Linked DNA regions of Lepisosteus oculatus. The main gene of each other region encodes a partner of the protein of the gene in region 2 in a complex. Links are inferred from orthologs where the notes say so. Each region holds a gene or a part of one and is shown on either strand. Other genes may lie near its edges.

Region 1 (7,684 bases), on a different chromosome or scaffold from region 2:
CAGGACCCTGGTTTTACGTCACAACTGAAGGATGGAGCCCTTTTTAAAGTATAGTGTCCCCATCACTCTACTGGGGCATTAGGACCCACACAAACTGCAGGGAGAGCACCTCCTACTGTTTTTCCCACAAGGTCTCTCATCTAGGAACTGACCAGGCTCAAACCTGCTTAGCTTTAGTGGGTTGTCAGTTGTGAGCTGCAGGATGATATATGGCCACCGATGTAAGCTTTTGACCTAAACCATTTAAGCGGGAACAATAGAACTATAGACTTGACTTGAAATCATATGTAACATCTTGGAAAACTTTAGCAACATATATCAAAGTAGAATTTTGCCATAAAGCACAAGGATCAGGAGCAAAGGTTGAATCATTTTGTTCATAAGGAATTAACTTCAATATCAAACTACTTGTAGGCCATTAATTAAAAACTCTGTTTTCTGATTCCTGGAGGAATCGAAAATGTTAGTGTAATTTAACATGGAAGGGGAAGTGCTGTTTTCATATAGGCCAAAGTTTAAATGCCAGAACTTTATAATTAATTTTGGCACAGTTTTACCTTTTTATAGGGAAACGTCATAAACCATGAGCTATTTTTTTAGTGTTTTTGTCAAGGCAATTTTCTGTTGTCATAGATATTTTCCAGGAGGTTTTGACACCCAAGTATTTACTTCTCTTTCACATTGGGAAACACTCTCCAACCTATTATCTATTACCTCTAAAGGAAACTGATATTTTAGTGCTTGATTCATGGCAAAAGGGGGGGGGGGGGGTGAAACAATCCTTTGTTTGTCTGTAGTAACAGATAACTAAAGTCCAGTCCACAAAAACAAAATGTCTAAAAACGGTGTAAACATTTTAAAAACATGTTGCAGTTCACTTTGCTTAACCATGATTAAGCAATAAAGTACGGCAGGGTCTAGATACTTCTGAATATAACATTTGCAATTTCACTTCTTCACAGTTTGGTCTGGGGGTAGAGTTCTTGTAACGAAAGAAGAGAACTGAGGCGGAGGTTATTAAGCACAACTTTCAAACTAGTTGCAAAACAGACAAGGATTGTGAGAGTGTTTCTCTTCCCCCTGCCCAAGTACCCACTACCCAACATCCACATCTCACCTTGTTTTTTTATAGTAACATCTTGGTAATATTTTATTAAGTATATCTTGGTTGAATTTATGGTGTGGGGATTGACAGGCTGGAGATGACCTTACAGGCTCACTGAGAGCTGCCTTTTTCATTACAGTGGGTCATCAATCAAGCAGAGAGAAAAAAGTGCAGGTATCTGCTGAACATAGAGGAGAAATTAAGCTAACTGATCTCTACAATTTTTGTGATTACAATTGTGTTAGTTATTTTAATTAACTTAACGCTACTGCATTAGTACTTTAATCATCATATAAGGGGAGGGATAACACATGTCTGTTAACCATACATACTATATGCAATAGTGCACTATATAACAGTATAAAGGTGGTCTTGCTTATATGGCAATTCTGCTATTTTCTCTGCGCCAAACCCTCACAAATATTGAGACCCTACTGCATAGAAAATGCACCTAACATTTATGTTGTACCACTCTTTCATCACTAGTGATTCTTAAATATCTTTTAGATATATCTTAAATATAGATTTCTCTATAGCAAAAAACAAATTAAAGTTTTCAAACCTTGGCAACTGCTTATACAGATACCTCTTCAGCTCCTGTGAAAAACAATCAGATATAGCTGTTGGAGGGATCTGCTGTTTACTAGTGCATTCCCATTATGAGAAGGTTTGTGGTTACAGACAGCACTTTTATACCCTTCACACAATGTAACAAAGCTGGTTTAAAAATACTGAAAGGGTACATTCCATATACATAAATAAATGAAAATATGAACACTTGTTAAAGATGATGGCCAGAAATGTAATATTGCATTGCTTTGTGGTCACCTGGAAGTGTCTCAAAGCTGAAATGTGGAAAGAGATTCTAGAAGTGATCTTGATGAAGTCTGAGTAATACAGCAATTTCTTCCTTTCATTTGAGTAATTTTTTATCCCAAAGTTTTCTACATATAGATAAGCACCTGTTTGAATTACCACTGAAGTGCAATACCCACAGTGCTTCACAATGAAAATTACATTGTTCTTATGGAGTATTGGAGAAATGGAGTATACTGGGGCATTAGAACAGGATTTGGAAAAAAAAGGGAAGAGTGCCACCTACTGTTTCTACCAACAACACCAACTTACAACAGCAACCTGAATTTCTCTGGACATCACCCTTAACAGCACTGACCTGCTTAGCTTCTGAAATCTGATAAGATCAAGACATAATGTTGTAATTCTTCTGTCTAAAAATAAAAACTGTAAATGAACTTTTCACCTATTTACTGAAGAGCTCCCAAATCACACCTCCTTATCTAGTGTTAATCCCGCTTTTGATTGACCAACACGACCTCCATATGACTAGACAGCAGAATATTTATGAAATGTACTACAGAATGTACTACATAAAGCATTTTGCTAGAGCAGGAAGCATAATTTGGGGGAGATGGAGAAGTTCTGCATGGAAGAACAGTAAGAAATCTAACTTAAATATTGTCAGAACAAATTAAAAGGTTACAGGAAGTGATTTTTTATTATTATCAGCACCAAAGGCAAATGAAAGAAATATTAATTGCTGTAGGGTGAATAGTTTTTAATATTGTATATTTAGGACAATTTGCAATGATTTTAGAAATATTTGTTTTTGCTGTATTTCAAACTGTCCTAATATGTGTTATATTTTAAACCCAACTTAAGTTACACAGTAATTGTTCAGGCTACAATTTGTATACAACTGTATGCACTTACAGTTCCTACACCCAAAGTTAGGAACTGCATGAAAAACATAATGATAAGATTCATGCAACAGTGGAAATTGAAAATATGTATCCATTAGTATCAGATTTGTTTTCCAACATTCACTGGTAACGGTTTGTCTTCTCTCAATTAACATCCTGCAGCAACGGAAAAAAAAAAAGATCTGCAGTTTGCTAACATTAACATACAACATTTTTTAGACAATTTATACAGTAAATACTTACATCTGCCATTTTCTGTGTTTTTATTAGAAGTTAAAAACCTAGAAAGTAAAACAACTAAAATCAGATGTTGTGATGAAAGGACAAGAGCAAGGACTGGAAAGTGTCATACTTTTTTCAAGAAATGTTTCTAACTCCAGTTTTTTTGCATGAAACTCTGTTTTATTAAAGGAAATGTATAAAACTGTAAATGTATAAAACTGCAAATCTAAATAACAGTAATCTACATCTCTTAATGTTTCAAATGTGATAGTTTAGTTACATTTGACACCAACATCAAATTTAACACTCGTTCAAACTAAATCGTCTTTCAGCAAATAATATAATTTTTAGACGGAAGTGTGAATGTTTCTGATACTGTAGATTAAAACAACTTAATTGCCACTAGTTCCAGTGGCCAGAATAAATAAGACTATATATTATATTTATTGGGAATACCTCTGTCAAATAAGTATTATTTTAAAATAAAAATATTATAATTTATGAGTAGTAAATTAATGTCTGATATTATTGGAGAAGGAGGTAGAAAATATTTAGGGCTTCAGAATGGACCGAACGAAAAAATAGATAGCACTTCTCCTTCTAATGTCAAAGACAACGAGCATTAACATTTACGTTTAATTATTATTAATTATGTATAATGTTAATTAAACGTACACTTAATTAATAAAGAAATAGGAATAAACGTTTTATCAAAATCAGTGTCAAGATAAATGTATAGGATAATTTAGAGGCACTATATGTCACCTTTTTAAGCTAGATGACCTATCTCCTACTTTTAATTTCTACTACAAATTAATTTCAAACTGAGACCTCAGCGGCTGAACCAAATAAAAAGGAAACGAAAAGACAATGTGTCTATGATTCCTTTTAAAAAAGAAAAAAAATACGATAACCTGTTCAAAGGCAGAATACTCTAATTGGACTTATAATGCAAAATAAGACGATATTACCTGCTTCTGCTAGATTTTTACGGAAGGTTTGTAGAAAATGAAATAAATCACATGATATTTACACAGAAACGGAAGTATTTTAACAATTGACCTTTCAACAATTGACAGCTTCCGCTGTCACAAACGTAAAGAGTTTCCTATCGTACCGTGCCTCCCCATAAATGTGAGCATTCTTGTTTTAGTTTTTTCTACATTTATAAAGTATACTGAATTAAATAAAATGGGAATTTTACAGTACACCTCACATATAAAAACAAAAGAAACAGGAAACATGGTTATAAAGGTCTCAACTAAACCAGCATTGTTACCTGCAGTTACCCTTTTAATAATAATAATAATAATAATAATAATAATAATAATAATTGCTTACACACTTATTTAGTGCTTTCCTGGAAACTCCACTCAGGGCGCTTTACAAGTAGCGGTACAGCAAATCACAGAGATCATTAGAAGTGAAATACTTATGAGTTACATGAAAAGAACATCTAGTTTATAACTAAAGATAAACAACTGAGGATTAAGGTTTTGACAAATACGCTGTAATGATTCCAGTATCTGTGACTATGAGCTTGATCATCAAAATAGGATTTCCTGATTATTTGCATTACAAGCATTTTACGACAGTGTGAATCCTTGTGGTTACAACTGACTTACGGTAAAGGCCACGTGTGGTTGTAGGAAATCAGCGCGGCGTGGTGGTGTAAAGAACATATTGGGCATTTTGGGAGCAGGCGGTATTTCAGATAAAGGTGAGGTAAATGTTTTTTTTTTAAGATGTGCTTATGATTTTTTATTGGGTCATGCTTTATAGTCTAGTTAAAGTCCAGGAAGTTTTCCAAACTATTTTATGAGTCAGTTTGCTTTGGGGAGTACCTAAAACTGAACAGTTTGGTTATAGTTTAATTACTTCACAATTCATACCTACGTTAATTTCTACATAAATAATTGTATGCTTTGGTTCAATCACATATTAAGAGTTAATCGGCATTTTTGTCTTCATCACTTCCCCCTAAATTAAAGGAGATATTTATGCATGGTTTCAAAGTGAACGTCGTGAAAAAAGTAATGTCGATTAATTTCAATGAGCAACGCACTTCAGTTCAGTGTGGCATAATAAAGTGGCTCCATCTTATTCATTACCATTTTGGAACATGTGCTTTGTCCACTGAAAGCTAAAGTGTAAGTTTTGTTGCGATCTCACCCGATTCTAATTTTTTTCCCCCGCGAATCCAAAATTCATGCGAAGCATGAACAGTAGTTGAGCTAAAAGGGAGTAGTACTGTTTTCTTTCATTTATGTATTATTAAGTGAAAGTCAATTCTGGTACTAGTACCCATTTATATAAAAAAAAACTGCAGTCAGGATATGAGGTTGTTACAAAAAGCTGGTCAAACTGTGTCAGATTAATCATTTCAATGAAGTTTCAATTTGCCGAGCAAGCTAGTATCAGACGGGTTTTTTTTTGTATCTTATTCTGTTGTAATTTGGTTTTACCCAAAATGCTGTCTTATCAGCCCACTTTCTCAATGACACATCATAATATGAATTAATGTTATACTTTTTATACTAATTAAGAATATTATTAATACTCTTATGCATCATACCCTAATCTGGTGGAGTATAGCTGTAGGTTTTTAAAATTTAATTAACCGTTTTTGTTTTCAATAGTGTTAGAAGACGTTCCCACAAGGAACTTTAGAAAAGAAAGATTCACATAATTGTGGAATTGGTGATTGAGCACTTCCAGGGGAGGATTAGGATTAATTGATCAACTCGGTCTCGGTTTTCAAGCAGAAAGTAACTCCTTGATTTTAATGAGTTTTAACTCTTCGGTAGGATAAGGCAGACCACATTGCGTCAGATTGCTCTGCAGAGAGACAGGTTTTAGGGAAGTTTGTCTCATTCCTAGTTATTCACAATTGGTAGTTCTCAATTGGAAATTGAGGTAAAATATGCTTTTACCTGTTGAAGCATTTAATTGTTGGAGTAACGTTTAAGAGCCAAGATGGTCAACCAAGGTGGGATCACGAAATCTAGGTCACACATTCTAAAAAAACACAAAACTCTTTTAACTTAATGGAACACTGCATTTTGCAGTCGACGTTTAGGAGGCCAGGGCTTAAATTTCACTTTAATTTTTTTTTTCTTGTGCAAAACAGGAGGATCAGAAATGTTTTGTGAGTTGCTCAAATGGCAGTAAGTGGGTCTGTTTAGTATAGTAATGTAAGTAAATGATCTAAGTGCCCGAATGTCATAAATAATATAATAAATGTCTTGTCATGCTTTGAATAAATAAAAAATGATGCTCTGATGAATAATTATAACACTTATGTATCATGTCGATGTTGCTGTATGCAAATGTGAGACTGTACGGTTTTGATTGTAGCTTTTGTTCCTTAACTACTGATGTATCCTTCAATACTACAGAAACCAGGATACATCCCAGCTCTTTGGACGTCTGCTGTTTATATTTGAGCAAAATACGTTTTTTTGTGTTGCAGATACAACACTGACCAAAAGGCCAGTGGGAGAAAGTCCTTACTCCTCATGAACTGTTGTCTGTTTTCTTCTAGCAATGTCTTTCCGTGGAGGAGGTGGCCGAGGCGGCAGAGGAGGGGGGTTTAATCGAGGTGGACGAGGAGGTTTTGGGGGCCGGGGCGGTGGGGGAGGATTTCGAGGTGGTGGCCGAGGAGGCTTCAACAGACAAGATTTTGGACCTCCAGAATATGTTGTTGGTAAAGAAACTTTATCGTTGACTGTAGACCTAAATATTATTCTGTGTAGGGTTTACTGAGATGTACACAGTCGCTGTTTATTATTTTGAAGATAACTAGCAAAATAATTAATTTGGCAGACCCGGTTGTAGAAATGTAAATATTACATGTTAAGAGATTGAGTTACAAAATGAAGGAATGTCACCTTTTATAAAAATCTTTATGAATTAGGTGCTTTCTTTTAAAAAGGTATTTGCTTGGTTGGGAACAAAAAAATACAGTTACACTTAGCTTTGACATTATATGAAATATGAAGACCGCTGGTCTTACAAAAGGATGAAGTATTTCTTCCATATATTATCGTTTCTTATAACATTTAGAACTGAAGTCTATGTGGACCATTTTAAAACCAGTCAAAAAAAGTAATATAACACACCACTTGGGTACATTATATCAACTCTGTTATGGTACATCGAAGAACACAATGCATATTGTCAATATTTGCTTTGTCAAAATGTCTTGTAGACGTGTTTTAAGGGCATTGCTATCTTAATTTCTTTTCTGGTTTAATTTAAGTATGCAGCTGTGAACCATAGGAATTCGTAGGATTAAATTAGAAAAGAAAAAGCTATTTTTTTGCAGAAGCATGATTGAGTTTTTGCAGTTGGCTTTTTTGAGCAGCACTTCCTTCCCAACCACAGTATATTTTTTATTATACAGATAAAACTGCCCTGATAATTTCAGAGTTGCCACATGGCTTATGGACAACCATGCTACTTATTTTAAGCTTGTCCTGTAGCTCTTATAAAAAAATACTATTTACTGTCATAAGTGGCATGCTTTTATGCATGCTTTTTTTGGTTTAACATAGCTCTAGTTCTTTATAGTAGCATCCCAGTCTTCCAGGATACCTCATTATTTTAATTAGTTCATTTTAATATTTTCACAGGT
Region 2 (7,160 bases):
CACAGGGACCGGAAGAGTCTAGAGCCCTGTGACTGGGCAGTGTCAGTGTACTGGACTCCACAGGGACCAGAAGAGTCTAGAGCCCTGTGACTGGGCAGTGTCAGTGTACTGGACTCCACAGGGACTGGAAGAGTCTAGAGCCCTGTGACTGGGCTGTGTCAGTGTACTGGACTCCACAGGGACTGGAAGAGTCTAGAGCCTGTGACTGGGCCGTGTCAGTGTACTGGACTCCACAGGGACTGGAAGAGTCTAGAGCCCTGTGACTGGGCTGTGTCAGTGTACTGGACTCCACAGGGACTAGAAGAGTCTAGAGCCCTGTGATTGGGCTGTGTCAGTGTACTGGACTCCACAGGGACTGGAAGAGTCTAGAGCCTGTGACTGGGCCGTGTCAGTGTACTGGACTCCACAGGGACCGGAAGAGTCTAGAGCCCTGTGACTGGGCAGTGTCAGTGTACTGGACTCCACAGGGACCAGAAGAGTCTAGAGCCCTGTGACTGGGCAGTGTCAGTGTACTGGACTCCACAGGGACTGGAAGAGTCTAGAGCCCTGACACAGCCCAGTCCCTGTGGAGTCCAGTACTGGGCTGTGTCAGTGTACTGGACTCCACAGGGACTGGAAGAGTCTAGAGCCTGTGACTGGGCCGTGTCAGTGTACTGGACTCCACAGGGACTGGAAGAGTCTAGAGCCCTGTGACTGGGCTGTGTCAGTGTACTGGACTCCACAGGGACTGGAAGAGTCTAGAGCCTGTGACTGGGCCGTGTCAGTGTACTGGACTCCACAGGGACTGGAAGAGTCTAGAGCCCTGTGACTGGGCTGCATCAGTGTACTGGACTCCACAGGGACTGGAAGAGTCTAGAGCCCTGTGACTGGGCTGCATCAGTGTACTGGACTCCACAGGGACTGGAAGAGTCTAGAGCCCTGTGACTGGGCTGCATCAGTGTGCTGGACTCCACAGGGACTGGAAGAGTCTAGAGCCCTGTGACTGGGCTGCATCAGTGTGCTGGACACCACAGGGACTGGAAGAGTCTAGAGCCCTGTGACTGGGCTGCATCAGTGTGCTGGACTCCACAGGGACTATCTGCAGCATTTAGTGTTGCCTTCAACACTAGAACCATGCAGATGTTACAATCTTGAGGACTGCGTTGAGGAGGGTGTAATGATGGCATAACGAGGGATTCTCACCACTTTAGAAGGGACGTAGGCGTAGGGCAGGCTGCGGTCCTCACACATGACAGGGATGTGACAGTACACATCGATAGGCAGTGTGTCCCCGGCCAACACCACAATCCTGCACAGTGACAAGAAGTCAGGAACACAGCATCACTCACTCTCCCCACACACACACAGCATCACCACAGTCCTGCTCAACAACACTCCCCACCTGACCCCCACACACAGCATCACCACAGTCCTGCACAACAACACTCCCCACCTGACCCCCACGCACAGCATCACCACAGTCCTGCACAACAACACTCCCCACCTGACCCCCACGCACAGCATCACCACAGTCCTGCTCAACAACACTCCCCACCTGACCCCCACACACAGCATCACCACAGTCCTGCACAACAACACTCCCCACCTGACCCCCACACACAGCATCACCACAGTCCTGCTCAACAACACTCCCCACCTGACCCCCACACACAGCATCACCACAGTCCTGCTCAACAACACTCCCCACCTGACCCCCACACACAGCATCACCACAGTCCTGCAACACCAAACACTCCCCACCTGACCCACACACACAGCATCACCACAGTCCTGCAACACCAAACACTCCCCACCTGACCCAGACACACAGCATCACCACAGTCCTGCACAACAACACTCCCCACCTGACCCCCACGCACAGCATCACCACAGTCCTGCACAACAACACTCCCCACCTGACCCAGACACACAGCATCACCACAGTCCTGCACAACAACACTCCCCACCTGACCCAGACACACAGCATCACCACAGTCCTGCTCAACAACACTCCCCACCTGACCCCCACACACAGCATCACCACAGTCCTGCTCAACAACACTCCCCACCTGACACCGACACACAGCATCACAACAGTCCTGCAACACCAAACACTCCCCACCTGACCCAGACACACAGCATCACCACAGTCCTGCACAACAACACTCCCCACCTGACCCACAGCAACACATTCGATTCAACCTGACACACTCACACCAAAGTCGCCTCTGACTTACCCCTTCTCCCCCTTGTTGATGAACTTCTGGACCTCCTTCACCCCTCTACGGATCTGCTTCTGCTTGGAGGCTGGGATAGAGTGAGAGAGTAAAAACTCTTGAATTACACAATTGTAGCTTCCGATCCTACTGGGAGAGGAAACTCAATAGAGCTGCAGCCCAGCGTGTGATCTCCTGTCACTCAATAATGCTCCATATTTAAATGTCTGTAAACGTGTTAGTTGTACGTGCTTTGGCATCACTGTAACTCATCGGCCCCGCCAATAAAGCTGTTTGAATGTAGGAGGAGTGAGACGGAGAAGAGTTGGGGAGGGAGAGAGAAAGGAGAAGGGATAGAAAAGCGAGCAAAATAACCAGTCTGCTCATTATCGCCAGTAGCCGTTCATTAGCACAGCTAATGAACAGCGCATTCACTCCGACGTGCACGGTACCCCGTCTCGGACCCCGGTGTCCGGCAGGCCCGGAGAGGGGCGTCCACACTCATGTTAGCAGCAGCAGCGAGGCGGCAGTGCTCCTACCCTTCTTGACGCACTTGTACAGTTTCTTCGTGAGCTTCCGAGACGCCAGCGGCTGGGCAATGGCGTTGATATTGGCGATGAGGTCCTGATACGTGTTCTCCGTGCTGCCGCTCTCCTCCTCCACCTTCTCCTTTTTCGCTTTGGTCATTTTTTAAAACAAATTCTGCTTATTCTGTTACTCGCGTGAATTGCGCCTGCAATGTTCAACCTTCTGGCTTTAGAGACGCGGTCTGCAGCCACAACACGTGTTGTTACTGGATCCTTGACGTCACTTCCCTTTCCTGCTTGATTTTTAACTCGCCATGTGGCCCGAGGGATACTCGCGCCCTCTGGTGCTACGGAGGAGTATTGAACACGAAACGGACTTTCTCGAGACGAACCGTTACATTCACTGAACAGCTTTTACCATAGCATTTTACAATTACATTTACAGTCCCTGAACAGCAGAACACGTTATGACAGGGGCTACAGTTCCAGTGCCCAGTCTTAGTACAGTGAACAGTTTTGTTACAATAGGAGCTATAGTCCCAGTGCAGTAGAACAGTCCTGTTACAATAGGGGCTACAGTCCAGTACAGTAGAACAGTCCCGTTACAATAGAGGCTACAGTCCCAGTACAGTAGAACAGTCCTGTTACAATAGGAGCTACAGTCCTAGTGAAGTAGAACAGTCCTGTTACAATAGGAGCTACAGTCCAGTACAGTAGAACAGTCCTGTTACAATAGGAGCTACAGTCCTAGTGAAGTAGAACAGTCCTGTTACAATAGGAGCTACAGTCCAGTACAGTAGAACAGTCCTGTTACAATAGGAGCTACAGTCCTAGTGAAGTAGAACAGTCCTGTTACAATAGGAGCTACAGTCCAGTACAGTAGAACAGTCCTGTTACAATAGGAGCTACAGTTGCAGTACAGTAGGACAGTCCTGTTACAATAGGAGCTACAGTCCCAGTGCAGTAGAACAGTCCTGTTACAATAGGAGCTACAGTCCCAGTGCAGTAGAACAGTCCTGTTACAATAGGCGCTACAGTCCCAGTACAGTAGAACAGTCCTGTTACAACAGGAGTACAGTAGAACAGTCCTGTTACAACAGGAGTACCAGATCCCAGCTCTCACATGGGACAGCTCAATCCACACAGGTCATATAGAAAGAACATTTTTAATATTTCTTTATTACAACATTCAGTAGTACATTAGCAAAAAAATGAAAATTGAAAATATGTACACAAGGGCAGTATGGTCTGTGCACACACTTGTGCCAACAGGACAAAATTCTCTGCACTCCTACAATCAAACAACAACAACAACAACACAACAGAGGGAGGAGACATCCCGGGACAAAGCGAGGGAGGGAGCAGGGAGACGTCCCGGGACAGAGCGAGGAGTGGAGGGAGTCAGTCAGGGAGGAGATGTCCCGGGACAGAGCGAGGAGTGGAGGGAGTCAGTCAGGGAGGAGATGTCCCGGGACAGAGCGAGGAGTGGAGGGAGTCAGTCAGGGAGATGTCCCGGGACAGAGTGAAGGAGCAAGGAGATGTCCCGGGACAGAGAGGAAGAAACAAAAATAAGTCACTTAAAAAACAAAGTGAAACAGGGAATTGGAGAGAAAACTGCATGTCCCAGTCGGGGCCCAGGCCAGAGGAGGAGAGCGAGAGGGGGGCAGCGAGACTGGCGTGAGGAGCGTTCTCCCCCAGAGCAACACTGTTCCAACGGCCCGCCGGCGCCCCTCCGCCTCTCTCTCCTCCCCGCCCACTCTCACTTCTTCATTTTCATGTCAGCTTCAATGGCACACCTCCGGCCCCTGGTTCCTCCGTCCTGAACAGGGCAGAGAAGAAGGAAATCTGAGCCTGCTGTCTGAAAGGCTTTGCCACCCTGCGGTGCACAAGGGCTGAAACAGTGACCAGCTGAAATTCACACGATTTCCGAGTCCCTCACACCCGGACCTAGACTGATTGACTGACACGCTGGCTTGTCAAGGAGTGTCAACACGCCACTTGCAGGGCTCTCTAAAACTTACTTGCATTATGTGCAGAGTCTGGCATTTAGCCTTGCCATGTGCAAGTGATCACACCACTCCTGTCCTGGAATCCCTGCACCGGCTTCCTGTCAGGTTTTGAACTGATTTCGAGATCCCTTTGCTTATATTCAAGGCTTCACATGCCTGGTCTCCCCCGGATCCATTCGTTCCCCTCCACCTGACCTTTGCTCAGCTGACTCGGGTTAACCGTGCGACCCCACCTTACGCGTCTCCACTCTGTGGGTGCAGGGCCTCGTGTCGCTGTACCCCAAAGCTGTGGAGCACCAACTCAAAAGAGACTAGAGACTCACATCAAGTGCTTTGAAGACAGGAAATGTTTTTGGAGTTGTTTTTTGTGACTGGTAATGTCCAAATTCCATAATAAGAAGAAGTTTAAAGCAGATGGCTTTTACAGGCCATACATGTACATAAGTATAAAGGTTTCCTATCCTAACTGACTGGCTCTCCAACTGGAGGTACATACCTCTCCTGCCCCTCTGTCTGTGCTGACCCTGTCCTGAAGACTGCTGCTGCCCTGCCTGCTGTCTGTCCCTCTTTCTGATCAAGGCAGAGCTCCTGCTCTGTCCCACCTCTACCCTGTCTTTCCACAGAGACGGATCTACTGACCCCCGTCTCTTCCAGGGACACTGACCCGGGTAAACAGAACACAAACAGGAGGGAAGGATGGTCAGGGAATGTTTGTCGATCTTCCTCTAATACCTACGCCATATGTACGCATAGCTGGATTACAGACTCTTACTGGAGACTCTGTACAGAGACACACAGCTGGAGTACAGACTCTTACTGGAGACTCTGTACAGAGACACACAGCTGGAGTACAGACTCTTACTGGAGACTCTGTACAGAGACACGCAGCTGAAGTACAGACTCTTACTAGAGACTCTGTACAGAGACACACAGCTGGAGTACAGACTCTTACTAGAGACTCTGTACAGAGACACACAGCTACAGTACAGACTCTTACTGGAGACTCTCTACTGAGACACACAGCTGGAGAGTCTATATGATATAGCATGGTAAGCTCTGTTCTGTAGCAGAGGAAGCTTTACTATGGTCACAGTGTCAGTATGATCTTCAAAAATGTTCACTTTGTTGCAGCCCCTCACAATCATAATTTCACAGCACACTGACAGCTGTAAAACTGTACTCTAAAATCACTGCATTCGGAAAACAACCTCACAGCACAAGACACTATCTGCTTGCATTTTCTATGACTCTGTATAAGTTTGTGTACAATGTAAACTGGTAATGTACGTAGGGCAGCTCTGTGTCGGGGTGATGGGCTCTGCGCCGCGCTGTGCGAGAGGGAAGGGCTCTGCGCCGCGCTGTGCGAGAGGGAAGGGCTCTGCGCCGCGCTGTGCGAGAGGGGAAGGGCTCTGCGGTGCGCTGTGCGAGAGGGAAGGGCTCTGCGCCGCGCTGTGCGAGAGGGAAGGGCTCTGCGCCGCGCTGTGCGAGAGGGAAGGGCTCTGCGCCGCGCTGTGCGAGAGGGGAAGGGCTCTGCGCCGCGCTGTGCGAGAGGGGAGGGCTCTGCGGTGCGCTGTGCGAGAGGGGAGGGCTCTGCGCCGCGCTGTGCGAGAGGGGAGGGCTCTGCGGCGCGCTGTGCGAGAGGGGAGGGCTCTGCGGTGCGCTGTGCGAGAGGGAAGGGCTCTGCGCCGCGCTGTGCGAGAGGGAAGGGCTCTGCGCCGCGCTGTGCGAGAGGGAAGGGCTCTGCGCCGCGCTGTGCGAGAGGGAAGGGCTCTGCGCTGCGCTGTTTTGGGGGCGATGGGCTCTGCGCCGCGCTGTTTTGGGGGCGATGGGCTCTGCGGCGCGCTGTGCGAGAGGGAAGGGCTCTGCGGCGCGCTGTGCGAGAGGGGAGGGCTCTGCGGTGCGCTGTGCGAGAGGGAAGGGCTCTGCGCCGCGCTGTGCGAGAGGGGAGGGCTCTGCGGCGCGCTGTGCGAGAGGGGAGGGCTCTGCGCTGCGCTGTTTTGGGGGCGATGGGCTCTGCGCCGCGCTGTTTTGGGGGCGATGGGCTCTGCGCCCTGCGCCGCGCTGTTTTGGGGGCGATGGGCTCTGCGCCGCGCTGTTTTGGGGGCGATGGGCTCTGCGCCGCGCTGTGCAAGAGGGAAGGGCTCTGCGCCCTGCTGTTTTGGGGGCGATGGGCTCTGCACCGCGCTGTTTTGGGGGCGATGGGCTCTGCGCCACGCTGTGCGAGAGGGAAGGGCTCTGCGCCGCGCTGTGCGAGAGGGAAGGGCTCTGCGCTGTGTTGTATCACACTGAAGGCTGCAGTCAGTACAATGGGCTGTGCATACAGAGTGATACTTACAAAGAGAGAGAGAAGGAAGGCAGGAGAGGCCATGGGCACACTGTCCTGTGAGAGGACAAACGACACAGTCAGAGCTGGAAATACACTGATACAG

Evidence for each region.
Region 1: nhp2 (region 2) and gar1 share a complex: the UniProt entries of both Homo sapiens proteins name them as parts of the H/ACA small nucleolar ribonucleoprotein (H/ACA snoRNP) complex. The link is inferred for Lepisosteus oculatus from reciprocal best matches to the Homo sapiens genes NHP2 and GAR1.

What each region holds. Positions count from the first base shown.
Region 1 is NC_090696.1:56,886,516-56,894,199, forward strand, and holds the start of gar1 (H/ACA ribonucleoprotein complex subunit 1), read left to right. Parts: upstream 1-4,666; 5' UTR 4,667-4,768; exon of another isoform or gene 4,769-4,773; intron 4,774-6,592; 5' UTR 6,593-6,594; coding exon 6,595-6,754; intron 6,755-7,684. Other genes in the region: ragulator complex protein LAMTOR3, read right to left, coding at 1,118-1,239. UniProt on the Homo sapiens protein: Required for ribosome biogenesis and telomere maintenance. Part of the H/ACA small nucleolar ribonucleoprotein (H/ACA snoRNP) complex, which catalyzes pseudouridylation of rRNA.
Region 2 is NC_090706.1:29,618,584-29,625,743, reverse strand, and holds the start of nhp2 (H/ACA ribonucleoprotein complex subunit 2-like protein), read right to left. Parts: upstream 3,008-7,160; 5' UTR 2,883-3,007; coding exon 2,735-2,882; intron 2,287-2,734; coding exon 2,217-2,286; intron 1,289-2,216; coding exon 1,183-1,288; intron 1-1,182. Other genes in the region: bromodomain-containing protein 8, read right to left, coding at 4,507-4,541, 5,228-5,390, 7,067-7,111. UniProt on the Homo sapiens protein: Required for ribosome biogenesis and telomere maintenance. Part of the H/ACA small nucleolar ribonucleoprotein (H/ACA snoRNP) complex, which catalyzes pseudouridylation of rRNA.